4 linked regions of the Caenorhabditis elegans genome follow. The protein of the gene in region 3 purifies or fractionates together with the protein of the main gene of each other region. This does not show direct contact. Each region holds a gene or a part of one and is shown on either strand. Other genes may lie near its edges.

Evidence for each region.
Region 1: the proteins of sur-6 (region 3) and glb-12 fractionate together in Caenorhabditis elegans (co-fractionation; one large-scale study listed by BioGRID). This does not show direct contact.
Region 2: the proteins of sur-6 (region 3) and rps-26 fractionate together in Caenorhabditis elegans (co-fractionation; one large-scale study listed by BioGRID). This does not show direct contact.
Region 4: the proteins of sur-6 (region 3) and paa-1 fractionate together in Caenorhabditis elegans (co-fractionation; one large-scale study listed by BioGRID). This does not show direct contact.

Annotation. Positions count from the first base shown.
Region 1 is NC_003280.10:10,727,816-10,735,449, forward strand, and holds glb-12 (GLOBIN domain-containing protein), read right to left. Parts: upstream 3,838-7,634; 5' UTR 3,748-3,837; coding exon 3,709-3,747; intron 3,563-3,708; coding exon 3,296-3,562; intron 3,237-3,295; coding exon 3,151-3,236; intron 3,080-3,150; coding exon 2,980-3,079; intron 2,452-2,979; coding exon 2,224-2,451; intron 2,171-2,223; coding exon 2,090-2,170; 3' UTR 1,989-2,089; downstream 1-1,988. Other genes in the region: mks-5 (Protein fantom), read left to right, coding at 1-217, 383-709, 1,131-1,301, 1,353-1,435.
Region 2 is NC_003279.8:14,756,811-14,763,261, forward strand, and holds rps-26 (Small ribosomal subunit protein eS26), read left to right. Parts: upstream 1-3,119; 5' UTR 3,120-3,125; coding exon 3,126-3,306; intron 3,307-3,563; coding exon 3,564-3,736; 3' UTR 3,737-3,816; downstream 3,817-6,451. Other genes in the region: dnj-12 (DNaJ domain (prokaryotic heat shock protein)), read left to right, coding at 269-418, 466-921, 970-1,411, 1,462-1,622; tmem-107 (Transmembrane protein 107), read right to left, coding at 1,976-2,299, 2,351-2,437; gpr-158 (G-protein coupled receptors family 3 profile domain-containing protein), read right to left, coding at 3,911-4,198, 4,252-4,404, 4,446-4,560, 4,612-4,947, 5,745-5,914.
Region 3 is NC_003279.8:9,750,859-9,760,403, forward strand, and holds sur-6 (Serine/threonine-protein phosphatase 2A regulatory subunit sur-6), read left to right. Parts: upstream 1-3,263; 5' UTR 3,264-3,379; coding exon 3,380-3,575; intron 3,576-3,913; coding exon 3,914-4,011; intron 4,012-4,065; coding exon 4,066-4,322; intron 4,323-4,371; coding exon 4,372-4,507; intron 4,508-4,754; coding exon 4,755-4,824; intron 4,825-4,875; coding exon 4,876-5,040; intron 5,041-5,088; coding exon 5,089-5,213; intron 5,214-5,262; coding exon 5,263-5,399; intron 5,400-5,445; coding exon 5,446-5,620; intron 5,621-5,989; coding exon 5,990-6,118; 3' UTR 6,119-7,030; downstream 7,031-9,545. Other genes in the region: F26E4.2 (Tnp_DDE_dom domain-containing protein), read right to left, coding at 7,031-7,170, 8,393-8,522, 8,570-8,614. UniProt on the Caenorhabditis elegans protein: Probable regulatory subunit of serine/threonine phosphatase let-92.
Region 4 is NC_003281.10:5,448,140-5,455,910, reverse strand, and holds paa-1 (putative serine/threonine-protein phosphatase PP2A regulatory subunit), read right to left. Parts: upstream 5,182-7,771; 5' UTR 5,171-5,181; coding exon 4,662-5,170; intron 4,611-4,661; coding exon 3,751-4,610; intron 3,704-3,750; coding exon 3,486-3,703; intron 3,433-3,485; coding exon 3,353-3,432; intron 3,309-3,352; coding exon 3,217-3,308; intron 3,163-3,216; coding exon 3,149-3,162; 3' UTR 2,774-3,148; downstream 1-2,773. Other genes in the region: F48E8.4 (MRH domain-containing protein), read right to left, coding at 1-29, 79-185, 235-324, 524-926, 1,367-1,539, 1,592-1,745, 2,012-2,305; F48E8.8 (Hsp20/alpha crystallin family protein), read left to right, coding at 6,099-6,179, 6,275-6,391, 6,437-6,557, 6,713-6,898, 6,946-7,073; skpt-1 (F-box domain-containing protein), read left to right, coding at 7,668-7,746. UniProt on the Caenorhabditis elegans protein: Acts as a scaffolding protein for phosphatase let-92 and its regulatory subunits.

The sequences.
Region 1 (7,634 bases), on a different chromosome or scaffold from region 3:
TCAGAGCCTAACGAGGTAGCTGAAACCGAGGAAGATAGAAAAAGAGAGTTAAAAACCGAAGAGCTCAAGAGCCTTCTTGGAGCTCTCCCTCCAATTGCAAAACCCAGGAATATACCGGTTGGACCAATTGCGTTGACTGAGCAACCAGAAGCTACCAGGCAACAAGGTTCAACAGGAAGAATTTTATTCACAGATCCGTTGCATTTTTCAGTTCCACGTGAGTTGATGATTTCAAATAATTTTTATAGCTTTTCATGTTTTGACACAAATGTTATAACGTGTTCAAAGTCGAATTCTAGTTATTTTATTACTGCATATTAAATAGAAGCCGCAAACCCTCGAATAGAAATTTCTTTTCCACATCCCTATTTTTGAATTTCAGCATCTGAATCCTCGTCAACTTCATCACCACGTCGCGCCGAAAAAGCACCTGTTCCACTGCCGGATTATGAAGGGCATAGTTTGATCAAAGTGCGAAAACCGTTGTCACCAACCGACAAAGATGTACTGGAACCGAATATGAAAGTTTCAATACAATTGGAAACATTTGAACTTGTTCCCGGATCAAGTCTGACTCCATTGACAAGAGAAGAGACGACGTTTTTCGTTGATTGGGTATTTTTGGATTTTACGAATGAGCAGTCGAAGAGTACGATATTTGATTTTCCGAGAAGACCACAAGAAATGGTGGATATTCGATATACAAAAGGTATTAGTTTTTTGAGATTTTTTATGGGAAGTATAAAATACTTATCTGCTTGATATCTATGGCCCCAGTTCAATTCAAAGGTATTGAAACAATTCTTTAAGCAGAAATATAGAACATTCAATTTTAAATATTTTAGCACTTACATTTTTGTGACAATTTTTTGAGATATGAACGTCTAAAGTTGGAGGACCTAGTTTTTGAACATGGTGCATCAAGAGCTCAACTTCAAGAGCTCATATCTCAGAGCTTGACTGAAACATTATTAATTTTTTTAATGTTCATTGAAATGTGGCGATTCAGAGGATGAAAAAATAAAATTCAAAAATTCTTCTAAAATGTTTGGTTTTTTTTTTGAAGTACGTTTAGAAAATAACTTAAATGCCACTCTCTAAAGTTAACCCCGATAATCTCAATTATTCAGAATACACCCTGACGCGTGGTCAACTTTCTCTTCTCGATCAATGGATCCGTGCTAGCATCAAATTTGAGTTAACCATCATCAAGATCAGTCCAGGCGACGAAGAGGAGCTCGGCTTCGGAAGTTTGATTTTAGTGCCAAACAACACACAGAACAAATCGTTTGTAATTGATGGTTAGTCATTTGTCGTAAGTATCTCATTCTTATAATTGAATTCAAATTCAGTTTACGATCGGAGTGGAATTGTGCAAGCCGAGATGACATTGACATTGCATTTCTCAAGAGCATTAATTGAACAATTGACCTGAGAAAATTGAAAAATACGGTTTAAATAATTTGTTAGATTATATTTTCAACAAATTAATAAATATTTTGGTTAAAAAAAAACTTGTTCAGTATCGTGAATTGTGGTTGCTGGAGAGCAAACTAAGCAATATTCTATACTCTTTTTTAACATCGTTTGAAAAATTGGTGAAAAATGAAATTTGCATTTTCAAACTTGACGTCCTACTTACAGCACAAAAAACGCTTAGGTAACTATCATATCTTGGCAAAATAATTACGATTTTAAAATGTTGCCGACGGAAAAATGTATTTTGAATTTTTAGTGATTTGTTAGTTGACTTTTTTTGAATCCTCTTACCGAAATGGAATAGATCCTCAAGAGGATAAAACCTCATATACATAAACTCGAAAAATAATCGGCCTATAACGTAATTGGCTCTGACTTTCAATTCACATAAAAATGTATCTAAACCTAATTCAGCAATGCTATTTTGTCTCCAAAATTGCATGTCTTTGTGTGACGCAATAGCAAAAAAAGCTTAGCTCATTTTTGTGCATTAAATGTGCTACAAAATCAAAAAAAAATCATTTATTCAATAAATTTAATCAGTTTTATTTATCAGTGTTTTTTCAGTGTCAATATGTTTTATATGGTATATCACTATAAAAATATACTTTCAGAATGGATCTTCGAACATTTGCTCTTGAGCTTTTGGTTCATTTGAAACTGCCGTATTTTCAATCTCGCTTTGTTTTTCCTGAAAATGCCAATATCAAATTAACAAATGTATGATATCAACTAATAACATACCGCCACCCTCTTCTTCTTCCTTTCCGAAATCTCGATATGTTGATGTGGAGCCAAGGCTTTTGTTGTTTGTGCACTCTTCTGTTTTGCTCTTTCCAATTCAAATGAGTCAGTCATTTGACTAATTACTGTGTTTAAGAACTTCTTCCAGACGTCTGTGATTTGAGATGTGGTGTAGTTTTGAGCAAATCGCACTTTTTTGTTCTCTTTTCCTTCTGATGATGGAAGCTCCTAAAATCATATTTGTTGGGTGAAAAGGTTTTTTGTTTTACGAGGGGAGATTATGAACTTTTTTAGAAAAAAAAACCAATTTAATTTAAACAATCTTATTTCGAATAGGTATCTACAAGAATTTATAGGAAGAGGATCACAAAGAACTAAAAAATCCGATCTGAAGTAACATTTAAAAATACTTATTTGAAAATATTATTCTAATTTTTTGAAAAAACCCGCAACTATTTTGCCCAACTGGATCAAAAATTGCACCTTTTTTAAAAAGAAAAACAAACATTTTTTTGAAAACAGCTCAAGTAATTTCCTCGCTCACAAACATCCTAATCTACGTTCGGGAAAATTTTCAAAATGCTTCTCGACCGCAAAATTTCTTTTTCGAATTATATAGATTTTTTCAGAAATCAAGCTCAATTAATTCCTTTATTAGAAAATAATTTGATTGAGTTGTACTCCAAATAAACCTTCCAACAAATCAATTAGTTGAACTTTCAAACTAGCTTGACCTAACTGATCCCACAATCTCACCTGTTCACCCGTCAGAAATGGAATTAATCGCTCGATAAATACATTTATAACAATTTCGAAATAGTTCTTCTCCATCTGGTTCTGATTTTGTTCCAAGAAACTGAAAAATCATCAAATGGCATTGGACTATATAATCATACAAAGTGACGGCATTTGCACCTGCGCACTTACCCTTGTCTGACATGACTTCTTCCCGTTTTTCGTACCAATTGCCATGCACCCGTCAGATTTTCAGACGTGCCAAGCATTGACGTGAGCTGGAATAATAAATTTGAGTTCAAAAAATACTCTTAAAAATGTAGTTTAGACAGCTAACCTGCTCCATGAACTCATAGAATCTTAGAATATGCCCTCCGAATTTCGGCATTTTCAGCATCGCGGCTCGCGGAGCCCGATCCACGCCAAACACTTTCTTGAGGTCCGGTTCAATATCATTGACAATATCTAAGAATATAAGACCAACAATATCCTTCGGATCATCTAGCCTTTGCCAAGTTTCACGTAACAGAGTACGGTCTTTTTTATTGAGGGCTAAGTCAAATGGATTTTCAGATTCGTTTCCGACCCAAGATGCTCCGACTTGCTGGAAAATAATTTTTTAAAATGTTCTGTGCGTCTTTAAAGAGTACTGTAGTTCTCTATTCTTATGTACTGTTTTTTTGAAAAGAATGTAAAAAATCCAAAAATTTTTGAGAAATGTTCATCTTCCGAATCAAGCTCAAAACTCACGGTTTTTTTCTTTTTCGGTGCACATAATGTGGCACCCATTGAAAATATATAGATTTATAACGATACTTGTTTTATTAAAAATCTTAAGCACAACTTCTCATCACCTCAATCAGGAAATGTTCTGAAAATTTGAAATTGAAAGACTCTGAAAAAGGAGAAGGAGTGAGTAAACATGAAGAAGACAAATTGAATAAGCCTCAATTATGACGTGGCAATGGAATGATGATTGGATTTTTTGTGTGTTGAAGTAGTCATAAAACGGAAGACGGCTGATTTTTTATGGGATGACGGGGAACAGAGCAACATAAATTCGCGTTCACAAGGCTGAAAACTAATTTGAATTTTGGCTTAAATTGTGGAAATGGCCAGTTAGATCTTGGAAATCAAATAAATCCTAACTGAAAATTTAGCCATATTCATTGTGGAAAAAATTAGATTTTTTAGGGTTAATAATTTTGTTTTGAAAAGATCTCAAACTTTTCCTATGACCCAAAGCATAATAAAAAACTGTAGATTTTGAGAAATCTTTTAAATCTAATTTGCCTTGTTTAAAATGCTTCCAAGCAGTATAATTTTTGTGGGGACCTATTAAAATGAGCTTTTTTGAAAATCCTAATTTTCGATGAAACATTTAAAAAAATCGAAACTTTTCCTTGTCAGCTTAACACTTAAATTTGTCAAAATCTGAGACTAGACTTGAGTTTTCTCGGGGATCTTTTCCGAAAGAAAAGACGCATATCAAAAATCAGTGTTCTTCTTCCCAAAAACTTATAGAAAGTATGAATATAACCAAATGATTGCTTTAAAAAAGTGAGAAGAAGGCAGAAGAGGGAAAAATACGAAGAAGTGGGATAAACAAAGTGACAAAAAACTGCGAAATTATAGTAGAGAGTTCTGACAAGAAATAATAAGGGAAGAGAAGGAAGTAGGTGAACTATTGGTTTTTCGAATGTTAATGTTATAAATGTATTTATACGTAGGCTGTTTTATTACTTGTTAGAAGCTTGAACTCAAGATCCGGCGGGAAAAGTGTAACAGGTGCACGTAAAAGTTCAGTGGATCAAAGATTTCTGGAACGGGACAAAATTTGTGGAGTTTGAATTCAAGTTATTTTGGAACATAGTTTGCTGGTGGGGCAGATTTATAAACGGCAGTAGCAATTCATGGTCTACCGGCTTCCTAGTTTCTGGTTATTTTCTCAAATTTTTGATTTTTGCCCATTTAATTTTTTTAAACATTTTCACTTCAAATTTTGTTAAACCACGGTATTTTAAGTCCACAATTGAATTTTTAAAGAATTTATCAGAAATGTTGGTTAATCTCCAAAATCGTTCTCCGCTCTCAAAAACCAAAGTGGACGTTTGCCTCCAAAAAAATGGAGAAAAAATGAAATTGCGATTTTTGGGTTGAAATTTATATTTTTTAAAAGCTGAGAACATGTTATACACGAATACTATGTCCATTTTGACACCCAGAATATCTGAAAATATCTAAAAATTGAAGCATGAATATTTTCAGAAATTTCCAGTTAATTTGTAAAAATCGGAAATATTAAAACTGCAGATTTCATGAACAAAAATAGTCTGAAATTTGTATAGAAAACAATTCAATCTTTCAAATTCAAGCACCCGCATTGCAGAAAATAATCAATTCTCATGCTCAACTAGATAGTTTTGCTATAGTTTTTGATCAGAAATTTGATTGTTTTCACTTTGCTTGCCGCTCTCCAAATTCCAAAAGTTCTGACTTCCAAGAAAAATTGAAAAAGAAAAAAAAAGAGAAATATTTAATTTTCCAGGAATTTTTTTTGTTGATTTTTTGAAAACGAGAATTGAAACAAGTATGGAAGAAAAATAGGCATAATCTTACTTGAAACTCAAAAATTTTCCTCTAGGTTACACCTAATTAAAACCTGTTCCTTCTGATATAACAGAAACCTTAACAAAACGTGAAAAAGTGGTGAAAAAAACATGGAAATGAGTGTGTTGTGTTAGGTAGCAGGCAGCTACTGCTCGCGAGCAAGAGCTCTCGACCCGAATAATAATTATAAATCACATTTTCTCCTTACTCGCCATTTTCGGTAGAAAATATATAAGGAATGGTGAAATGTAATAAGGGAGAAGTGAGTGTGTAGGTAGGAAGGAAAAGTGATCTTGGTTCTTTCTGGAGTTGGGGGGGGGGGGGGTGGGTTTTCAGGTAATGAAAGTTTATGTACCTGCTTGGAAAACCAGGCTTTTATACTACTGGGTTTCAGTAAGGTTACTGTAGAAACGATTAGAAACGCGGCAAACGATTTTTTCCGGCAAATCGGCAAATTGGCAAGAATTAAAATTTCCGGCAAGTCGACAAACCGGCAATTTGTCGATTTGCCTAATTTGTCAACAAACAAATTTACCAAACGGCAATTGCCGCCGGCCCTTGTCCAATAGCCGTTGAACTTCAAAATGTTTCTAAGTATTAAAAACAAAACTCTTTAGGATCACTATAATAAACACTACCTATAAACACTACCTAGCCAAGCATTACAACTTGAATATTAGTTTCAGAATACACTGAATTTTGAATCAGAAGTCCTTACTAGACGGTTCCTCAGAGATTTCCGATTAAGCTGTGATTCACATTAGTATTACAATTCAAGTATGCAAAGTTTTGATACTCTTGTTATTACTCAGAAAAATAAGAGAGGAAGCATTCATTTCCATCGGAATTTACCCGGAAACCGTAGGTGTCTGGAGTCTGGAAATTGAGTTGACAGAAAGTATTGTCACTAAAGTTTTAGTACCTTCCCGTGAGTGTAATTAATAAAACGAAATTGCATTATATTTTTCAATTGAGAGTACTTGGAACGGATGTGATCTGGGGGAGAATGAGCAGAAAACATGCCCCGCAATTTTGAATTGCAATAAAATATGCAGTTTCCGATCAATAAAACATCAATGATTTTTTAATTTCAAAAACGCGGAACAAAAATATGGAATTAACCTTTTGAATTTGAATTCCAAAAAAAAATCCGAAACTTTGTGTGAAGATCACATGGGGATTATTTCTAATCTTGATCTCAGGGATCCCCATTTGAAAATTTATAACGAAAGAAAAAAGTCGCTGCTAACCCGAATGAGGATTACAAGCACTTGCATTTGAATAGGTACAATTAAAGTATAAGAAGAAAAAGTGAGCTCTGAGCTCTCATTCTGAGTGTGCTCCGTTTCGGTCGGCTGAACTCATGAACATGGAAATTTGCTGATATTTTTTTTGGTTGAGCAACAGTGAGCAAGCGACAAAGGTGAGTCAACGCTCAAGTAGCTAATTGAGTTTTTAATCAGTGTCACGGGTTAGAGCAACAGAGAGAGAGAGTGAAAACGTTGGAGAACAGGTGGAATTCATTTTCCGATATTTTTCAGCTTTTATGTGGTAAGTTGAGTTAGGATAAGGTGATCAGGTATTGAAGTGAGTAAAATAATCAAAGAACTTTTTTTGACATGGAAGAGGGAATGGTTGTTGGAAGTTTTTTTTATCCCAAAACTGTTTAATATTTTCAGAAGTTTTTTTTAACTTTTAGTCATCCGCATTTTTCCGAAAATGTTTTGAATTTTAAGCCTAAAATTATAAGTTTTCAATTATCAAAAATAATTGGAAAATGTGAAGGTGTGGTGATCACTTATAACAGCAGATTAGATACAAACTCTGGCTTGGAATGTTTGAAAGAAGGATTTTGAATTGCAACCATTATAAAAATGAAAACATTGAAATTATAGAAAAGAGCTTAAAATAAGAATAGATTTAAATTTCCAATAATTTTGTGAAAAGTCTTCAACACTTTGCCCAGTTATTTTTACTGTAAGGGAGATTCTAAAGTACTGCCAAGAAGTTGCGAATTTCACTATTCGTTTTTTTTTGAATTTATCAGGGTACTGTATAAAACTGTC
Region 2 (6,451 bases), 5.0 Mb from region 3:
GTCCCCGCTTGGTGAGTTGCAAGTGCGCTCCACCGATAAAAGTGTCGAGAATGTTCACGAAAAATCGTTAGAACAGTTTTCGCGTTTTCTCCTCTTTTTCGCCCTTTATCTCTTGACTTTCCCCATTTTTGACTTCAAAATCGATTTTATCGTGTTGGATTTACGCAAAACAATTCGCTTTTTGGTATAATTTTCATTCTGACACTCGAAATTCGTCGATAAATGAAGAAAAATTATTATTTTCTTTTTCAGATTCGTATTTATCAAAATGGTGAAGGAAACAGGATATTATGACGTTCTCGGAGTAAAGCCGGATGCTTCAGACAATGAGTTGAAGAAGGCCTACCGTAAAATGGCGCTCAAATTCCATCCAGACAAGAATCCAGACGGAGCTGAGCAATTCAAGCAGATCTCCCAGGTTTGTTACGAAATCCAGCTGCAAAGTTGAAATTACTCATATTGCAGGCATACGAAGTATTATCAGATGAGAAGAAACGTCAGATTTATGATCAGGGTGGAGAAGAAGCACTTCAAGGCGGTGGTGGTGGCGGAGAGGGATTCCACAATCCGTTCGACGTATTCGACATGTTCTTCGGAGGCGGTGGTCGTGGTGGTCGTGGAGAACGTCGAGTAAAACCAACGGTTCACAATTTACGGGTCACACTCGACACACTGTACAAGGGTGTTACGAAAAAGCTGAAAATCTCAAGAACTGCCACTTGTAAAGGATGCAAGGGACTTGGAGGCAACGAGGGATCCGCTAAGGAGTGCTCTGATTGTCGTGGACGTGGAATCAAGGTTCGTGTTATCAGAATGGGACCAATGGTTCAACAAATGCAATCTCACTGCGACAGTTGTAATGGAGAAGGCTCAACATTCCTTGAAAAAGATCGCTGCAAAAAGTGTAACGGAAAGAAGCAGGTTTGACTTTTCTCCAATCGAATTCGAAACTATAATTAGTGATTTCAGGTGAAAGAAGACGAAATTATTGAAGTTGGAATCACGCCTGGCATGAAAGATGGCGAGAAGTTTGTGTTCGAAGGAAAAGGAGACGAAGTGATCGGTATTGAGAAGCCTGGAGACTTTGTAGTTGTGCTCGACGAGGTTGAACACGAGAAATTCGTCCGAAAAGGCGATAATCTGATTATTCAACACAATATCGATCTTTCCGAGGCTCTGTGCGGATTTGTGCGAACAATCAGTACACTTGATGGTCGAACAATTTTCTATCGTGTTCTTCCTGGAGAGGTTATTGCTCATGCCGATGTTAAAGTGATCCACAACGAGGGAATGCCAATGCGTCGAGCATCATCTGATAAAGGAGATCTTCTCGTACAGTTCGATGTGAAATTCCCCGATAAAATTAATCCAGATGCCGCGAAGAAGCTAGCCGATTTACTGCCTGGAAAGAGTTCGTTTTATTGCGTTTACAGTGTGAAATACTAATCATTTTTCTTTCAGGAGAAGAAATCATTGATGAAGACGCGGAAGTCGTTGAGCTGACCGAGTTAGATCCACAAGCATCTCGCAGGAATTTCGCTGAGCGCGACGACTTTGAAGGACACGGTGGATTCGGTGGACATGGACACGGGCCACAAGGCGTTCAATGCCAACAGTCTTGAATTTCACACCAATTTACACTTTTTCTGGTCACTTTCCTTCACTATTTTAGGATTTCAAACTTGGCTCCATTTCTTTCCTACTATCTGCATGGTTTTCATCTTTTAAAAACTCATAAGCCTAATTTCGACGATCTGTGATCTTGAAATTGATTTATTTTTTTGTGTTCCCCGTTCGTTTTACTTTTTATTCCCATCAACTTTAGTTCCTGCTCCATATGGTCTCGTTTCGTCCCCTCTTCATTACTTTTTTTGTTTGATATCGATATCCTACCCACATTCATTTCAGTGTTACGTTTTCCCTTAATTGACTGTCCGTCAGTCTTTTGTGAACAAGGGAGAATAAAAAAATTGATTTATTTTTGCCATTCCTTTCGCCTAAATCCGCCGATCGATGCGCTCACGGCAAGAACGCACGGTGGAAGGGAAAGAAAAGCGAAAAGTAGCCAAAAATGTGCAGGTGGATGCGAATCGTAGATGAAAATTAGAAAGAAAATGCTGGCAATCGTGTGTGACAACGTGGAATATAGAGATCGAGACGGCGACGGGAGATCCACGAGAATTGAGGCGAATTCGATGAGAATAGCGAGTTTTGTGAAGACCAGGCAAACTGTGAAGCCTATTCGGGCCTCCTCACTGATGGATGCACCGCCCGAAACTGATGCTTCCAAATGAGAAGCCTTGAAAAATAGATTTTAGATTTTAAATAATTTTTTTCGAGACTTCCTAACCTGAGAAAATATTGTAATCGTCGACAAGGCGAAATGTCCCATCAAACATTGAAAGTATTTAGTACAGGTGTCCGTTTTCGTGAACATTTCTTAAAGAAGCTTGCGAAAATCGATGAGTTACTCCACTAGCCCACTTCTCCCGTTGCCATGGCGACGTTCCTTCTTTCAATTACATTTTCGAGTGCTTTTTCGCTGTAGACCCTATAGGTTTACATGAAAAATTTTATTTTCTATTCATTTTCCAAAAAAAAAACCCTGAAAATCCCTTTTTTTCCTTCTTTTTCTGTGAAAAAATAGATTTCAATTTCTCGAAACGCGAGAAATGGCCTAGAAAACCCCATAGCGGCGGCCATGGCCGGTGTCCGGCAGCGTTGAGTTAGATGTGCAGGTATCGTAACCCAGTGTGCATTTAACGTTTCTCCATCGTATTTCGCTCACTTTTCTGCTGGCCTAAACGATTTTTTGACTTTTTTCTTGAAAATTCATCGTTTTTTCTGAAATTTCTGTTTAAAAAAATTGAATTGACAAATATAATCGATTTAGTTCATGTTTTCGCCAGATTAGTTCGTCAGATTTCTTTAAATCCTCGATTTTCGCCATTTTCTCTTGATTCTAGGATTGAAATTGATATCCTGTCGCATTTTCCTTATCTCTGCATGTGAAACAGCTTAATCCGAATAATTTCTAGTGAGAATTGTCTTAATTTCGAATTTTTTCGCTCGATTTATTGAAGGCTACGTTATAATTTCTTTAATTCTTTGGTTTTCAGGGTACAATGACGTTCAAGAGACGTAACCACGGAAGAAACAAGAAGAACCGCGGACACGTCGCGTTCATTCGCTGCACCAACTGCGGACGCTGCTGCCCAAAGGATAAGGCCATCAAGAAGTTCGTTGTCAGAAACATCGTTGAGGCTGCCGCCGTTAGAGACATCGGAGATGCTTCTGCTTACACCCGTTAGTTTTTAGAATTTTTAAATCATTCGTGGAAAGGATTGAATAATCTCGCAGCACGTGTGTTTAGCTGGATCCTCACTTTTTAAGCTCCGAGACTTGCCGAAGAGACGAATTTTATTGAGAGACCCTAGTAAAATTATCCCGCATTTCTAAGTCAAAGAGCGAGTGGTCCTCCTGAATACCCGTGTCACAGATTCTGATTAAAAAAAATGTTTGCTCATGAAATTATTTCATAAAGATTTAAATTCTATTTTCAGAGTATGCTCTTCCAAAGCTCTACCACAAGCTCCATTACTGCATCGCCTGCGCCATCCACAGCAAGGTCGTCAGAAATCGTTCCCGTGAGGCCAGAAGAGATCGCAACCCACCACCACGTTTCGGACAGCGCGCCGCTGCTGCTCGTCCAGGAGCTCCAGGACCACGTCCATAAGTTGTTTGTTCTTTGAAATTATAAACCTTTTTGTTGCAATCGAATTCTGTATCGCACGCGATGAAAGATGAACCGATTAAAGACGATTTGATTTTATAAAATAATATATTTATGTTATTAGAAGAATTATCAACAGAAAACAACAATGGAAAGTGCGCAAATATAAGTGAGCTTCTATACCCGAACTGAATTGTGTTGCTCAATGCTGTTCACATTTACTCCTTTGAAATTGCTCAGATAGATGTTATGAGGTGATGACTCCACAGTCAGGTCACTTTTCTCGTCTTCCTCTATCCGTTTCGTCTGCGGTGAGCATGATGGTATTGAGATCCGTCGTGTTGCTTTGGTGTTTTTATCGCTCCATTTCTTCCCACCCCGTTTTTTAGAAATGTGCGGGTTGTCTTGATACAAATTTTTCAACTTGTACATGCGTAATTGCGTGTAGACGCGCTTCAACTCTGCCTGAAAAACAAATGACATTGAATAGCGGGGACGAATTTTAAATCCAAACTGACCCGAATGTCTTCGGGGTTCATGTCAGCGATCGGAACTTCCGCAAAGTCGATAGTTCCGTTTAGTATGTTGTCACGTAGTTTAGCCAGCGAAGGATGAGCACGTCCCGAGTGGCCGCCAAGTGTCATCGATCGACGACTTGGCTCTCCATTTGACTGAAAATAAATAATATTTAATGAATTTTCTAACCAATTACCAAATAGAATTTAGGTGCCACAATGATAACAATGTTCACCGAAACTGTAAGCTGTAGATGGACAAATGAGACGATGAAGAGGGTGTCAGCTCGTCCCGAATTTCGAATAGAATACCTTTAAAAAATTGAATTTACAAATTTTCAGATATTTCAGGACTTCACTCACCTAATCAAGTTGGCCATTAATGTGATAACAGCTTCCAAGCACACAGCTACAGTGAACTGCCATCGTTCCAGCCAATCACTATTCCTGGCCTTATAGCACAGCCTAACTGCATACAGAAGGAAGAGCAACTCGTACCCGTGCCAAATAACATGCCATCCTTGCATCAGACATTGTGGCCACGCTGTTCTCCATAGTGCTGTATCGCCCCACGACCCAACTGTCCAGGCCATCAGGCCAGTTATTGTTAGTGCAAGCATGGCTGCAAGGTATTTGAGCATATCTTGCTCGCGGACAGACACGTGTTGAGCTTTTCGAACTCGATATTCTTGGAGGTTCCTGGAAAGTAATATTTTAAATAGCAAAAAAAAAGATTGCATCATAGATATGGACGGTGGCAAACGATTGTTCCGGCAAATCGGCAAACCAGGAAAATTGTCGATTCGCCGAATTTGTCGGTTTTAGAATTTTTAAAAATTGCCGATTTGCCGTTTTTTGCCGGAAAAGCAGCAATTGCCGAACTTTTCGGCAAATTGTAGTTTTGCACATTTTTAAAGGAAATTTCAATTTCAATCGGAAAATTGCCAGAATTGAAATTTCCGGCGAATCGGCAATTTGCCGGAATGGAAAATTTTTGGCACTTTGCCGGAATTGAAAATATCCGGCAAATCGCCGGAATTGAAAATATCCGGCAAATCGGCAATTTTTCGGAATTGAAAATTTCTGGCAATTTGCAGGAATTGAAAATATCCGGCAATTCGGCAATTTTTCGGAATTGAAAATTTCTGGCAATTTGCAGGAATTGAAAATATCCGGCAATTCGCCGGAATTAAAAATATCCGGCAAATCGGCAATTTTTCGGAATTGAAAATTTCTGGCAATTTGCAGGAATTGAAAATATCCGGCAATTCGCCGGAATTGAAAATATCCGGCAAATCGGCAATTTTTCGGAATTGAAAATTTCTGGCAATTTGCAGGAATTGAAAATATCCGGCAATTCGCCGGAATTAAAAATATCCGGCAATTCGCCCAATTGAAAATTTCTGGCAGATCGGCAATTTGCCGGAATTGAAAATATCCACCAAACCGGCAATTTGCCGAAATTGCCGACAAAAAAATGTGCCCCTGATACGAACCTATAAATTTTGAGCACAATAGATCCATAAAATATTGAAAATCCTATTTGTCTCAACCAGACTGCCACACAACAACCGTACTCGGGCGGTGCGACAAAATCGAGAAAAAGAACCGAGTAGAGGATGGATGCTCCGATGAGAAAAAGCTCCATGAGAGCCCAGCCACGAGCCTGAAAATTGATTTTTTTTGAGAATTCAGAATTAAAAAAATAAAAAATTTTTGGTCTGAAAAAGTAAAAATTAAAAAATTTTTTTTTGAAAATGCGAAACCTTTTTTTTCGGTTTTCACTAAATTTTACGATTTTTGCGTTAAAAGTACGGTACCCGGTCTCGACACGACAAATTTTCGCAAAGTTCAAAAATGTGTGCGCCTGTAAAGAGTACTGTATTTTCAAACTTTTGTTGTTGCGAAATTTTTTTATTGATTTTTCATGAATAAATCGTTAGAAAAGCTATGAAAAGTCCGCAACAACGTATGTTTGAAGCTACAGTACCCTTTAAAGGCGCATGCTTATTTACAATTTGCGAAAAATTGTCGTGTCGATACCCGGTATCGTATTTCTGGCTGAAAAAGTGTAAAATTTAGCGTATGTGTAATATATCAACAAAAAATAGGATAAACACGGCAATTTTTGCCATTTTAGCCAAAAACTACCTCTGAAATTCAGAAATTCCACAAAAAAATCGAAAAAAGATTTTAAAACCTC
Region 3 (9,545 bases):
AATATTTCGTTTGTGGCGAGACCTGGAAAATCGAAACTTACAATTGTTGATAATTTCGGGAACTTCAAAATCGCCCATTCTTTTTTCAACTTCGCTCTTAATTTCCTTTTTTCGCAGTTTACGGACAATTTTTTCACAAGTTATTTTAACTTTGTGAATAATAATTTTGCCATTAACCAAAAAAACACTATTTTTTAATAGAATTTCTTTTCTTTACACCCATCTTACACTAGATTTCTAGTTCAGTACAAATTGGCTACGGTCAACAATTCAGCACGGCGCCTAAGACGCAAACACCGTGTACACGATGACGCGCAACTGCACACTCTTCGGTTCAAATTGTGTTTTTTGCGTTTGAGTTCGTTGATTCATTTTTTCATCTATTTCTTCCGATTCATAGGGTTTTCTACTCTTTTTCAGTAATTTTTTTATTATTACGCTTGGCACAATGAGAATTCTCGCGATATTGCGTTAAAAATGGCTGGTAAACAGGCTTCGGTCGAACGAAGGCGGTAATGAGAGTCGAGTACTTGAAGAACATACTCTCAAGTGGCGACTGATCGATTGGGTTAAGGTGTGCTCGAAAAGCTCATTTTTCTTGTCATTCGATCTACTGTGAAAATGAAACTAGTTGGAATTGTCTCGAATATTATTTGTACCCTTGTTGTCCTGTTTTGAGATTTCCATTTCTTTGACTCGGTTTTTTTTGCGGCAAGCTGAGTCGACATATTTTATGTTTTTTGTATCACTTCGCGGCCACATTCTTTTCTGTCTTGATATTTTATTTGTGCTTCCTCTTTTTTTCTGCTTTCTCCTTTTCTGTACGCGTCTCCGATAATTATTCATGTAGAGAGATGGAGAGAGAGGTACTAGTGGTAATTGAGCAGCATGAGCATGAGAGAAGAGCCCTGAACGAGCCGAGTTTTCAGAGGAGCGCAGATATTATATGTATGTTTTGGCAAGCACGAGAGCAACACAACCAGTTAGATGAATACGAGTTTTAGTGTTTTCAATGTTTTTTCCAAGTTTTGAGCCATTTTTAATTTCGAATTTAATTTTAAAGGCACTACTAAATAATTGCAAGTATAGGGAAATTATAATTTTATCAACCTTGAGGATTTATTTTTTATTCAAATTTTTGGTCTATATTAAAAACCACTTGCACATTGTCAGAATTTCTTCCCTAATGAGCAAAAAGCGAAATTTTCAGCAATTCGATCACAAAAATCATGTGTTTCCGGATTTTGTTATGCGAAATTATCTAAATTTTGAAAAATAACTTGTTACCGACTTACATCACATCTCTTTTTCTTCGTTTTCTTCCTGAAAACAAATTTTCGGCAAGTCCCTAAAAAGAAGAGCCCAACTCATTACACTTTTTGCGAACACTAATTGACCCTACTTTCACTGAACTAAGTTTTCTTTTACGAAACGGTCAAAATGTGCTTCCAAATAATGATAGTAACATTTTTCAAATAAAAAAAGAAAGAGTTGACTGTCCATCAATGCTATTAGCTTCGCACACAGTTTCTTTGTGTTCCATCGTCGAGCTGTCTGCGTAACTCGTTTAGGTGCACTGTCTCGTGTTTCATACTCTGCGTCATTCCGTTTTCGCCATTCGGTTCGTCGCCGGCGCCATAGCCAATCGATTATTTGGTTCTTCAAGGCAGTAGTCGCCCATCTCTTCATGTCTCCTCGCGCTCCCTTCGGAAGAACACTGATATCTCTTCTCGCTCCTTCTCGACGTCTTCTTTTCCTCCCCCACCATGTCTTCTGCTTCTCCACCGGCTGATGCTGTCGTCGCCTCATGCTGCACACGTCGTTGACACTCACAGGCCCGCACACACATGGAGGGAGTGCTCCATCTCTCGTTTTTGCCGCTTAGAAAATGGATGTATATTGTTTTTTAATCCATCATGATTCCTTCCGTCTCCGTTTTTCACTTTTTATTACATTTTGCCAATTGGATTTCTGTTGATCACAACAATCTTATTCAGCATTTTCCTTATTATTATTTTGAAATAATCAAGCTTTTAACTTTTGAAATCATATTTGCTTTCTGATCAATAATTTTTTGTTTCTATCGGAGGACAGCTGATAAGTAAGAGGTTCCTTCTCGTGTAGTCATGAGTAGTCATTGATTATTTCCGTCTTGTTGTTGCCCTCTGGCCAGCTGCGTGAAGTTCTTCTCTGCGTGATCGCATACTGTTTCAGTCATTTTCCTATGACTCATCTGATAATTATTGATCGATCGATTGGTTATCTACCATTTTGAAAAAAAAGTTGAAGTTATAATCTGATTTTGCGCCTCACTCTGCTCATTATTATTCGGCACACACGCACACATACACACTCATTTTTGTTTCCTTTTCTGTCTCTTTCTCTCTACGGTCTGTCTATTGCTCCGTTTTTGGTTAACTGGAATTCACACAGGTGAGGGAGCGGATTAGGAAGAAACTTGAATAGAAAAAAGAATTCAGTGAAAATGAGATGATTAGAGAACTACCTCGAGCCATGTATCTCTGCTTTCGTGCTTTATGAGCATTCAGTGTTGATAGTAATAACATAATGAGATGACTGAAGAGACGCAGATGTTGTGAAGAAGCTCGAATTAATCTCGCGCGTTTGCTCTGCGCCGATGGATTAAGAGTCCCTTGGTTGGCAGACGAGATCTCGGTAAGCATCATCTGCTTGTTTTCTCCAACCAAATCTTCGTGCTTTTGACCAACAATTTTTTTTTGACTAAAATGCGGCGATCAGAGAGATATTACTTATAAATTGATCTACGTAAATTAAGCATCCATTATCAACATTTTTGTGTTATTTCATTTTCTAATTTTGTTGCACTGAAATGCACTCAAAACCGGTCCCTTCCGTTTACAAATTGCAAATGCGCCCTTTCGCACCCTAGTTTTTTTGCCCGCGTTTCGTCATGTAAATTGCGATAGCATTGCGGCACCGCTGTGATTCTCGGTCATTTTTGTGATCGAATCAAACATACAAACTTTTAAACAACGTTCTTTGTCTCTAATTCTCTGACCTGAGTGTTCCATTCCTTTTGACTCTTTGAAAAAACTTTGCAGCTATTTCTCTTTCAAACAATTGTCTTAATTTCCTGTTTTACCATGTTGTGCTTTTTCTTCATCACTCGACAGATTTGTTGCCTAGCAACCTGCGGCATGAGGATTTATGCTTCTTTTTTTCCCGATGTCAATCTCTGAATTCCTAATCCAATTTTGTATATAATAATTTCCATTTTTCAGACGCATTAAAAATAGTCGTCATTCCCGTGTCTCAAACACTTTAATCTTCGTCACATCCAGTGATTAGGAAGGGAAGAGAACCAAAGAAACAACGAAAAAGAGGAAAAATTTGAATAATGGTGATGGAAGTGGACGAACCTGCAGTTGCGGCGACTACATCGCAAAATCAACCGCAGGAGCATGCGAATGACTTTGATATGGATACCTCCGAGGGACCAATTGAGAACGATGAAACATTTGAACCGGTAGATCAAATAAATTGGAAATTCAACCAGGTGAAAGGAAATATAGATGCCGATGTGCACACGGAAGGTAAAAAATTGTTACTTGAAATTTCCCTACGTTTTTGATACTATTTCTTAAAGACGCACGATTTATTCAGAAAAAAGTTGGTGGTTTAATTGCCTTGTTTTTTTTTAAAATTAAAATACTACTTAGTTCATTTTTTGCGAAATTTGTCATATTCTTTTCATTTTTCTGTGAAAATTGTTTTAAATCAGTTTTTAAAGTAAAACATTCGAAAAAAATTACCATAAACATTATTGCGCGCCGAGACCCATCTGAATTAATGCGTGCGACTTTAAGATGATATGTCAAAAATTAGTAAAAATTATGATGCCTAGAATACTGAAAAATCGAATAATTTTCAGCCGATGTGATCTCTTGTGTGGAATTTTCACACGATGGTGAATATTTGGCAACGGGAGACAAAGGAGGACGTGTTGTAATTTTCCAACGAGATCAGAGTGTAGGTTTTAGTTTTTAGAAAGACGAGAACTGTTTTAAATATTTAATTTTTCAGGGAAAGTATGTGAAAGGCGTTCGATCGAGGGAATATAATGTTTACTCGACATTTCAATCTCATGAACCTGAATTTGATTATTTGAAATCACTAGAAATTGACGAGAAAATTAATCAAATTCGGTGGCTTAAAAAGAAGAATGCAGCCAATTTCATTCTCTCGACCAACGACAAAACAATCAAGCTGTGGAAAATTAGTGAAAGAGAGCGTAAAATTGGAGACGATGCATGGAATCTGCCTAGAACAAACAGAATCAAGTATAACATTAATGATTAAATATTTTAAATATATAAATATAATTTTCAGCACTTCCTCCTTCCGAGGTCGCTTACAAATACCCTCGATCGTGCCAATGGAGTTGATAGTTGAAGCAAGTCCGAGACGAGTTTACGGAAATGCTCACACTTATCACGTCAACAGTATTTCAGTGAATTCTGATCAGGTATTTTAATAATTTTTTTTTGTGTTCAGCTTTTTTCAATCCAAAGTATACGATGAATCAAAATCTCAACAGTATAACCTTCTTCACATGTTCGGCGTATTTTTTTAACTATTCAATTTATTAGAAAAATAGTACCAGGTTGGCTGAATTCTTTTTTGTGAAAATTTAAAATGTTTGGTACTGCAAGGACCAAAATATCAATTATGTATAAGTGAACCGAAATTAAAAATTATATTCCGATTTTCAGGAAACATTCCTATCTGCCGACGATTTGCGAGTTAACCTTTGGAATCTGGAGATTACCAATGAGTCTTTCAGTGAGTTTTGAATACTTGTTTTCAAAAAATTTTAATATCGATTTCTTCCAGACATTGTCGACATCAAGCCTGCTAATATGGAAGAACTTACGGAAGTTATTACTGCCGCCGAATTCCATCCAACGCAGTGTAATTGGTTTGTATACTCTTCATCAAAAGGATCTATTCGATTGTGTGATATGAGAGATCGTGCTCTATGTGATGCGTATGCTAAAAGTGCGTTTGGTTCTGTGTATTGATTATATAAATAATATTAATTTGCAGTTTTCGAGGAACCAGAAGACCCTCAATCTCGATCTTTCTTCTCGGAGATTATTGCATCTGTTAGTGACGTCAAATTCTCACATAATGGAAGGTACTTGCTTACGAGGGACTATCTTACTGTCAAGGTAATTATTAATAATTAAAAAGAAAATTTGAACAACTTTTATATTTCAGGTGTGGGATTTGAACATGGAATCACAACCGGTAGAGACATATCCAGTGCACAATTATTTACGAACAAAACTCTGTGCACTCTACGAAAATGATTCAATTTTCGATAAATTCGAGTGCGATTGGAGTGGAGATGACAAGTAATTAATTGCAGTACTTTTTCATATTATAATTTTCTTTTTGCAGACATATTCTCACGGGTTCGTATCATAATCTGTTCCGTTCATATGCTCGTGGCAATAACCAAGATGCGAAAACTTGGGAAGCTCGGCCTCAAGAACCACATTCACAGCTCCGATCTCGATTTGTTGTACCATCAGCGAAACGGAAGAGAAACAATCTGTCATCAAGCGGTGAAACGGTAAGATTTCAATTAAATTTAAAAAAACGTCTTCATGTTTAAATGGGTCTCTGCGCGCAAAAAAAGTTTATGGTAGTTTTTATTTTTATTTTATGCGACTGCTTCTCGTTTATTTTTTATTTTTCAATATAATTACTTCGTATTTAGCGACATTTTTTCGCTAAAAATACACTTTAAACGACGTAATTTTATTGAAAATGTAAAATAAACGAGGAATCAGCCGCATAAAATAAAAGCACAACCGTAAATTTTCTTGATCGCCAAGACTCATCTGAATACATCCGTGCACCTTTAAGAATGCATGTTAAACTCTCGTGAAAATATGATAAACATATCTTACTTCAAAATCAACAAAAACCCAATTTACAGACCGAAGAGGATCTTTCATCTGATCAACTTCAATTTGATCGTAAAATATTGCACACAGCATGGCATCCAAAGGATAACATCATTGCTCTTGCTGCCACTAACAATCTCTACATCTTCTCAGATGTTTAAATTATTGTTTTCGTAAACTTGTTGGATTTCGTCCTCCCCCAATCATCATTTTCCCTTTTTCTCAATTTATCCTCAAATATCACATTCATATAACTCTAAATTTTTTTTTCATATTTTCCCCATATTTTTGTGAGTCAATTCTTTCTCAAATCCCGTCCCTTCTTTCCCGTTTTCGTAGTCCTCATGTCGACTTATAGACATTTAATCGCGTATTCAATGTTACTCGCTTTCTTTCTTTCAAATCCTTCGTCATCGTAAATTTTTGAAGTAAAACAGGAATAAGCTCTTAGTTGGTTTCTATTTTTCAACTGTTAAAGTTGTCTTTTGCTTCCAATTTGAGATAGAGTTGTACTTTATTATTCTTATAGCTTCTTTTTCTTTACTCTCTCCCTCTCTCTATCCTCTCATATCATTCTTGAATTACGTGGCCCGTTTTCTATACTTTTCCCTCACTCTTCAACTCCAGTGTTCTCTTTCTTGTCTCTTCCACCACCACTTTTAAAAAGATAACTGTAGATCCTTAACCCCGAATCATTCGGGTCGTGTCTCTCCCACTTTTAGGATGATTTCTCCTGTTAGATTCACAATGTGTTTCACGACTTAATCCTCTTGTTTGAAAGCGTGTGAAGGTATTATTCTCACCTTGTTAGCTCCATTCTGTAATTTTGAAAACTATAAAAATCGCCCAAAAAATTTTTGAAATTTTTCCGACTTTAGTTATTTTCTCTCCACTTTCTCTGTTCGTTTGTCTGTCACAAAATTACAAACTTTCAAATCAAGAATCTTGACATAAATTTTTGTATTACTTCCCTCATATTTCTTCATCATTAAATCCCCGTGGGTGTGTCTCATCATTAAGTCTTCCTTTTCCCATAAAATTGTAAGCAATATTTATTTTCCAATCATAAAAACTCATTTATTGAATGGAAATAGTCGACAAATGTACAAAAACAATAATAATAGTATCACATTTGTGGCGATGAGGATTTCAGTTCCATGGCGACGATATGTTTGACGTACTAGTACTTGTGCATCATATGTGACTTTGGAGACTGAAATAAATTAGAAAAATATATTATTGGTGTCTCGACACGACAAATTTATAAATGCGAAAATGTGCGCGCCTTTAAAGATTACTGTAATTTCAAACTATTGCTGCTGCTGAATTTTCACCGAATTGCATAGTTAGAAAAATGGAATATAACAATAAAAGCATAATTTTGAACAAATAATTAGAAAAAATTTAAAAAAAAACTCGATGAAAATTCCGAAGCAATCATAGTTTGAAATTACAGTACTCTTTAAAGGCGCACAACATTTCGCATTTAACTAAAATTTGTCGTGTCGAGGCCGCGTACCGTATTTTTGACGCGGATGTATAAGAGAATAATTAATTGAAAAAAATCGATTATATTACGTTGGATTTTGTTTTGAAAAAAGTACAAAAGTTATAACTTTAAAAAATAGATAAATCGAATCGATGAATTATTTATACTTTGATTCCTTTTGACTTGATAAATATCATTTCCATAGACAAAAAAAGGAGAAAACTATATTTAATCCTTAATCCAAATTCTGACATTTTTATTTTTAAATCGAAACTCTCTTTCGGACAATTGATATTATTAGTTAACATTTACATCTACAAAAACAAGATAATCCTCTAAGGTGTTGTCAAGACAGAAAACATACGGCTGATTTGTTTAGTACACATGGCGAATTTTCTTGAGGGTAAGGGAAAATACACAAAAAATAATATGTGCATTTCCTGTGCAGTTTCAATTTTTTAAAGTTTTTTATATTTCAATTGTTCGAAAATATTTTTAAGGGTGGAGTTCGGAAATTGGGTAGTTTTAATGTACTCGGAATCGATATGCTAAAATATCGCAAAAGAAAACTGATAAAAACAGTGAAAGATGTACATTGCCAACTTCAAAAAATTCGCTAATTCCCTGTTTGAATTTCTTCCAAAATATGAATTCATGTACACTTTTGGATCAATCAACGACTTCTGACTCCACAAACTCTACCTGACATATTGGAATATTCCGAGAATTTTAAGACTAAATCCCTATTTTCCAAACTCCATCTTGAAACAAAAATAAATAGATTCTCGACAATTTACTAAAGAATATTGCAAAAAAAAATTCAGATAATTTTCAGAAACCCCATTGGTATAATAGTATGATAACTAAAAATCCTTCTAGAGCAGTTGTCGTCTACTGAATATTAATTAATCGATTGAAATTATTCAAAAACTTGAATTGAACTCACGATATCTCTTTGTCTTCTGAAGACGTGTACCAGTTGCTTCTTCACGCCATTCATTTGCAACTCCTCTTGTAATTGCAGTTGTCCAAAGAGCATTTGATTCATGTTGTTTTTCGACAACACCATCCAACATCTGATAAATTATATTTCAGACTAATAGCAAAAATATCAAAAACTCACTCGCCGCCCATCACCACTGTATGTCACTTGTGGTTTGCGCTTCTTCTGGAAATGATTTTGCATATACTTTTGTTTTTTTTTCTAGTTTTCATTCAACAAATTTTCCACTTTTTTGAGCAAGAGTAGGCGGACTGAGCCTCGGTGGGTTTGAATTTTCTCCTTGCTAAAATTCAAATTCCCAGAATGGAAGTAGTCGCTAAATTGTACAGTAAATTTCCAAAAGCATAGGATTAAACACAAACAACAAAAACGATAATTTCGAATGATTGTTTGATACAAATTTGTAAGATTAATGACGCCAGAAGAGGAACACAAAATACTAATTTGAACACTAATTTGATACCAGAAACTACAAAAATCGGCGACGTAAACTCATTGTCTAAATTATTTCAGATTTGCAAGCTTATCATTGAATTTAAAAAAGAATTGCCACAGTTCTTGGAATCTTGTAATATCTTACAATTTGCAAATATCAGAGCACAAGACAGACTCTTGAAAAAGACTTTTTTGGAAGAACGTTTGAAAACATGAATTAGGGTATTAAAATAGACGTAAAATGAGTTGATCTTTGAGATGTGAGACGTAACTTTAGAAGATTAATGCCTGATAAACAAAGCGATCGATTTATTAAAGAGGAAGTATGCGATTCCATTTCTTTCATATCAAAAAATATTATTTGAAAACTTCCAAATAAAAAAGTGAAAATGCAATGATTTTTTATAGACTGGATATATCGGATATATCGGATATATTGGAAATGAATACAATTATGATTTACCATATTATAGCCTTGCAAGAAATTTTTGAACTTTGACAGCTCAGATGTCGGTTGTCTTTTTTTAAATGTCAACTGACAAAATGTTTTTCATCACTTCTTCTATAGTTTTGTAATTAATAATATTTTAATATCTAAAAATGAAACGAGATATAATTTGTCTTGTAAGTTAAGTCGATAGTTGTATGTAAATGGAAGAAT
Region 4 (7,771 bases), on a different chromosome or scaffold from region 3:
TGAACCTCGGAGAGATATCCATTTTGAACCTACAATAGAATTTAGAAATTTACTTGAAAATTCACAACATTTCCCAACCGCAGTGGCCATAATATCCTTTGGGAATTGATTTCTCGGCCATGATGGATCATGGAAATAGTACCATAGATGACCGCGATTCTCGTCGTTTACAGTGTCGTAATCAGCTGAAAAATATGTTACTAATTTTTTAATTTTGAAAACTGGGGGAGTTACAGTAGAAAATGTAGTCACTGATATCTGCCGTGCTGAATAATTTCCACATATAATCTCGCTTCTTTTGTGTGATTGGTTTTCCTTCGAGTTCTGTTAAAATTCAAAAAAATTAATTATTTTCACTGTATTTTTACTAATTTCTTTCTTAAAAAGTGAGAAAATTATTACATATTTTTTGAAAAAAAACTGAATTTCCATTCATTGGATATTATTTGACAAGATTTTAAATTTAACTTTTCCTCTGGAAGCTAACAATTTTCGCGGCCACTTTTTTTTCTTAAACTCTAACCTAATCCTGCAACCAGAAGGTTAAAATGAGCTGCGTGATAATCCATTTCCGCGTTAATCCGTTTCACCACGTCAGGAATATGAAGATTTCTCTGTGATTTGGTCATTGCATTGAATCTCTCAGCAGCTCGTTGGAATTTTCGCTTTTTCACTGTCAATACTCTTTGTGATTCTTCTGCCTTTTGTTTCTCCTCAAGCTGTCGTTCTAACAATTGTCGAACATCTTCTTTTCTCAAAAATGGTTGACATCCAATTTTCTTGGTATTTGACTGGCTTGCGGGCAAGAATTCCGGATATCTGCAGAGGGTTCCAACTTTTACAATCATCAAGTACTGACATGGTTTCACTTCGACAACTGAAGAGATGTATACCTCGTTGGTACTCAGTTGGGCGTCACATTCGTACTGAAAAACTGGAAAGTATTAGCTGTTTAGGAGAAATTTGTGGTTTTTGAATAGGGACCAAGGTTTGAAAGGTTGTTTGGTAGTTTTTTCCCTGTTTTTGAAGTTTAAAATTGATTTTTTTTTGAAGTACAATTTTATAAATAATAATTTTATTTTCCTGTTACTTTAAAAACACTTTATTCGCCAATTTAGCCTAGATTTTAACTTTTATTTTTGGAATTTCAGTACGTTATGCTTTTTAAAAATTGTCTAAAAAACTATGGAACACATCAGTGAACTTTCCAAAAAAAATGAAGATTTTTAGCCATGTTGATATTTCTCTCAAAAATTAAATTAGTATTTTAAAGTAAAAAATGTTGTATACATTTTTTCAAAAATCGTTTTAAAGTAACAATCCCGTAGTTAGAGCGGTAAAATGTCTTTTTTTTTTAATATAATACCCGAACAGAAGTCATCCGTGGCTCCCTGTATTCCTCCAAATCACAGAAAGTCCCACTCGTGTACGTTTCCTCGACGAAAAGCAATCGATCATCCGTTGATTCTTGATAGGATGGCATTTTGAGACTTCCATCGAACAATCCGAGTATATTCTTTACATATCCCTCCTGACCAGCTGCAATATATATGTATATTGATTGGTTTATTTTCCTATTATTGACACTCACGTTCTCCGTGCACTTGCTCAATTGTCTGTCCACGGCACAGAATATAAGACCACCAGTGATTACCACGTAGTTTCACACATTTGTCCACGTAAAAGCTTGCGGCGAGCGCGTCTCCATAGATTTTCGGATTCTTGCTGCTTTTTGGTTTGTCTTTCTGAAACCAGACAATATTTGAGACCGTTTATGCGTTTTTAATGTCTGAATACTGAAATAAAACTCTTATTAGCGTATTTTCACTGATTGTTTATAAATTATGGTGAAAATTTAAAAAATTAAGCGAAAAACTCGAAAACGTGACTTTCGAACTAATATTATCGCTGTAATGAAACAAAGAACACCTAAAGTCAACTGTAAACAACACGCTACAAATTTTTGCCGATTTTTACAACAAAGCACAATATTTAATCTAAAAATGTGTACCTTAACATCTTCCACATCTGGCAAAGAACATGCAAACTTCTGCCCTCCTTTACTCGTCACAAACATCAAATTCTGCTCGGTCGAGTCATCGGGAATCCGATTAACAATTCGCTTTTCGAGATCATCAATATTGCTGGCTGTAACTTTTCGAATATCCAATTCCGGGGCGAACCAAAGAAAATTCTCGCCAATATTCGCGTCATAAGAGACCCGTCGGTACTCTGCAAGGTCAAATACGCCTGCCGTGGCGGTCGTGGACGGCAGCAGGAATAGTTGGAGGAAATAAATTATCATCGTCTTGGCATAGCACCTGCAAAGAGAAACTACGTAAACAATTCTCCGATTGAATTGAAAAATTGAAAAGTAAATGCGAACAGTTTTTTAATTGGAAAAAATAATTTTGGCAACGAAAACTTCTAGCCACGTGGCAAAATCTGAGCACTGGAAGTTTCTGAGACAATCAATCGGGAAACTGCGCGTTTAATATAAATTTATGCCCGCTCTTTGCCAGCTGGATTTGCCAAACGGCCAAAAAGATGGTTTCAAAGTTCCAAATGGCAAAAGTAAATTTTTTATTTGAATGAGACGTTTCACAACGCTTGCAACTTGAGCAATATTTAATCCACGTTGCAAAAGCACCGAGATTCTCTGCTCAAAAGCTTCTGCGACGTGGCATACGCCGGATAACACCATTATTCCAAATATTTTCAGAGATTTCAACCACACTGATCTAACCTAACCTGAGACCTTTTTTCTCATAATAGACGATGACCTTTTATTCTGCAAAAAAAATAAATGAATGAATGGGTCGCAATGGAAAAAGTGGTGATTGTGTGTGGTGGAAAAAGAACAGAAAGAAGTAGGATGGTGAAATATACGGGATAGAAGTGGGAGGAAAATGAAAATAATCATAAAGAGAGGTCGCATAATTTAACGATTATAATTTGTATTGTTTTGTTGTGGGAGGGACGGTGGTTAGAACTATTACAATACAGAGTTTTGTCTCGAGGGCTAAACATTTACAAATGAATGAGGAGAGATAGAGATTATTCGCGTGCTCGGGAACAAAAATGGAAAAATAAGACGATTGAGAAGTGGAAGATGTAGAGATTCCAATTTGACTAGCGATATGTTCGATTACAAGCCGAGTGCTGAAAATGTTCAATTTCAAATTCACTCTAAATTTTAAGACAACTGAAACTTACAGTTCTTGGCTTCCTCTGAAAAGTATCGAACGTCAAAGTCTGAATCTTTTCCGAGCTTCTCGAGCAGTGGCTTCACCTCGGACGTCAATGTACTGAAAATAGAAAATTGGGATAGTGAAAAAGATTTTCCTGTCACCTTGGGGTCAAGTTCTTTCCAATTCGCTTCAAACTCTTTGCGGCGTTGAATCTGACATTCGGCACGTCATCCTCGACAAGCTGAAATTAGAAAAATTACGATTTCTTTAAATAAAAAAGTAAAATTTCCCTACATCTTTCACAATTGGCATAATCTCCTTCAGAATCTGCTCCTGAGTCATCGCCTCACTGAGTGTATTCAAACAGAACAAGCATGTCATTCTCTGCAGGTAGTTGGTGTCCTTCTGAAGTTTCTGCATTTTTGGTACAATATTCGTGCTAGCCCATTGTCCTCCAAACTTCTGTGTCAGTTCCTTCATGATGAGGGTCGATGCCTCGCGGATTGAGAACACTGGAAAAAATTAAATTAAAAACATTTTTAAGAAAAAATCAAGTTACCATGGTCGGTAAGCCAGTTCAAACAAAGCGGAAGCAACTTCTCATCGAAGAATTCTTGTCCCAACTGGGAAGCAAGAAGTGGCATGAATTGAACAATTGCGAGTCGAACTCTCCATTTTCCATCCTCGGCCAATCCAACGATGGCTGGCAAGAGGGATGTGGACAATTGAGCTGCTCCGATCACTTCATTGACCTTATCAAGACTGGAAATAATATTGAGGCGAACTTCTGGGGTTTGATCGTTAAGCAACTGCATGTAGATTGGGAGAAGCTCAGAGACAGTTTGTTCCTTGCCAATCAGTGGAGCAAGTCCCATGATGACACCGGCGAGTTCCGACTTGACGAGCTGATTCCCATCAGTAACCAATTCCTTGGCAACGTTGAGCAGTGAGTTGCAGATAATGTTCTGACGCTTGTCCTCTGGCAAGTTGAGAGCGAATTCCTGAAGTCTCTGAGTGGCAGCACATCTAACCTCACCCTCTGGATCCTTGAGAAGGTTCGTGTACATGTTAACGAGATGTGTGGTATCCATATCCTCACCGAGGACATTCTGAATCTCGATAAGCTTCTCGGCAACCATATAACGAACTCTCCACGACTTGTCATCGAACAATTCAATGAGAATTGGCTCGATGAGTTTCTTCTTGTTAGCCTTATCGAGGAGAGTTCCGAAAGCGATGGCTGACTCGACAGTGAGCAAACGAACAGAATCTTGCTCATCAACATGAAGATCAGTGAGACTGGAGTGGAGACCCTCGATGACGGCAGTCTTCTCAAACACCTTTGCGAACTCTCCGAGCTTTGCAGCAGCAGCACGGCGAACCATTGGGGTGTCATCACGGCACAGGGTTCGGAACATGCTGAAAATAATTAATTTAGATTGCTTTAGTTATTCTTTTCTTAATTCTCACCTCTTCAATTCCGACTTGATAGCTGGACTGACACGTGGATAAACAACAGAGAAAAGCCCACAAGCCGAGGTACGGGATGTGAACCAGTCTCCAGTGGCCAAACGTCTGAGCATCGGCACGAAATGCTCCTCCAATGAGGCCGAGCTGTGCTTGTCGGCGATTTTGCGGAGACTCTCAACGGCTTTGTCACGGACCACGGTCTCCTCGACTGTGGCCAAGTTCTCAAGTGGAAGGAGAAGACAATGAACATGATCTGGACCACCGACCAATGGAGTGAAATTTCCGAGTTGCTCGGCGAGCACAAGCAGAACCTCATCTTCGTCGTAAATCGTGTCGGTCAAAAATTGGATGAGCTCGTTGCGTGTGCGCTCCACACCCAACGCCAAAGCGATTGTGGAGAGTTTGCGAATGCTGTTCAGTCGCAACGTGACATCTTCGTTGCGCAGCTCGTCAATGAGCACGGCAATCGGGTAGAGCGCGTCGTCAGTGGCTTCTTCGACAACCGACATGATGAAGAGTGCTGAAATTTGTTTTATGAAAATTAATCTCGCGGCTATTCAAAGGAGAAAGAACGGGAAGAGAAACGGATTATCATCGGGCATGAGGAGAACAAGAGAGAGAGAGGAGACGCAGTGAAGATAACACAGCAATGTGTTGAAATATTGATTACCGGGTGGTTTTTGGAGAAATAAATTGGAGAGAAAATAGAAAAATTGAGTATTTTGAAAGAACTTGCAGAATCTACGAATAGTCATCTTTGAATATCTGATATTAAGAAAATTAAATTCAAATTTAAGAATGTTCAGTGCTAGAAAACATATTTTTGTTGAAACATTATTATTTCTGTACGAAAATATAGAAAATCAATGAAATGGAATTGTTCAAAGAAGAAGAGTGTGATTTTTAAAGAAACTATTGGAATTTTCGAGAAATCAGTGAAAAACTCTACCACGTGGACAATATTTTCACTGATCTTTCGAAAATCAACTCTGAAACTCGTGAAATTTCGATATTAAGAAATCGCTATAGTGAACCTGACGAACATGCAAAAAAAGAGCGGCGAAAGGAGAAGAAGAGAAACAGCTGCGACAGTGATACGCAGAGAAGCAGAGAACGGCCATCTCTCTCTCACTGCAATAGCACAATCCATCGCGCCTGCGGTCGTAGAGCTCTCATCGATTTGTCGTCGGTTTCGGTGTACTGGACGTGGCGACGACAGAGGGAACAGCGCCGGAAAATGACTGAAAATGTCCTTAAAATAGAATATTTTCAGTGTAGAAGGGAGGATGAAAACACAGGCATCACGTGATTAGTGAACAGCCAGTTTTTTTCTGATATTTAAACAATAAAAAGGCTGAAAATTAATTTGATTCGAATTTTCAGGCAAAACGCGTGGGCATGCTGTTAGAAGAACATCATTAAACATTTAAAATCATCATGGTTTCCTGGTTTTCAAAAATTTCAAACAGGCGAACAAAAGAGAAAAGGACGTCAAAAGCTTTAATAAAATATGCAAAAGTGAGTGCACAATCGAGCTTTTGGTTCTCATTTTTCGCAAAAGCGTGGTGCTCTAGTACGTATTCTTCTCATTAGCTCAGTTTATATATTTACAGAACAGTACAATGGGAGACGGTGCGAATGTGTTCAACACATTCAGCTTCAACAAATGGGCAGACGGCAAGCGTGAAGAGGAGATAGATAAGGAAAGTAGACGGCGACGAGCCGAGCAGGTTTGTGGTGGCTCTCCAAGGTGTATACTAGTGGCTTAATGACAGATTAAACGACTGAAGGAAAGGCTTCGAAAGGAGAGAGCACTGCGTGAGGCTCAAGGTGATGGAGATCTTGATTTGGATGCATTGATTGAGGCGTTACAAAGAGGAGAAGTTATCAATATACGTATGTCAAAATTATTTATTTTACTATTTAAAAACAGTGATAGAATCTTAATCACATCAGGTTTCTAATTGTTACTAATTATGTTAACTGTTCTTACAACCAAGATTTATAACATGAATAGAGAAGGATATTTGATAATTTGGATCCTATTTCAGCTCAACAAACCGATGTAATTGTAACCGAACCTATCGAGGAAACTTCTAAAAGAAAACGAGGGGTGCCAGATAATTTGTCAGATGATTATATCTTTAATGAAATAAATCTCTACGCAAATCGCTCGATCGGCTTGAACAATATTGCAGAGCCGGTGGACATAGCGCCTGTTCCACTACAAAAATTAGGTGAGGAAATTCAAGAAAAACCAATTTAAAATCTACTGTAAATTCAGATCCACTCTCCTTCCGTTATAATCGAAGAAATCAGAATAACGAAATGATCGCCAATGAGGAGCAAATTGTTCAACACCGGCCGAATAACTTCAAGTTTAATAGAATGATACAGGATATTCAAAAATGATTTTTTTTTTCGAAATGATTAATAAATTCTTATACTCTCTCCAAATGATCACAGCAACTAGGCAGAAAAAATGAAGGATGACTCAAACGTTTTAAATTTCGAAACTATTGGAACTAAATGTGTATTTCGGAATAATTAATAAAATGGATTTTAAAAAACTTGTCAACCTCTCACTTCCGAATACAACCAATCTTCGATGAATGAGACAAAAAAGTTGTTTTCAAGAAATAGTTTCAGATTCGACCCTTACTTTGCTTAAAGGTTATTTGGACTTATTTAAAAAGTTATATTACTTTTATTTAATCGTATTTTGATTTAAAAATGTGCGCTTTTGGTGGGAGAAACAAATAAAAATAGCGAAATATTGCAAAAAATAAAAAAATAAGGATAAAAATTGGCGAAAAATGTTCGAAAATTCAGATTTGCGGTGGAGCGCGTTTGCATTGCAAAAACTCGCGCCAACCTAAAAAAGATTACCGCGCCCGCGAGTTCATATTTATTCAAATCAGCCCTGTTTTGAATTTATTTCAAGCAGAAAGTGCTTTTTCCCTTATTTACCACCTAAATACTACACCTCATATCTACTCAAACAAAATGTCTCGTGTCATAGGAAGACTTCCATCAACTCTAGAAGATAACGGACCCTCTGAAAATGAGCATTGCGTGGAGACAGGTAATTGTGTGTCAAAATTCAAATA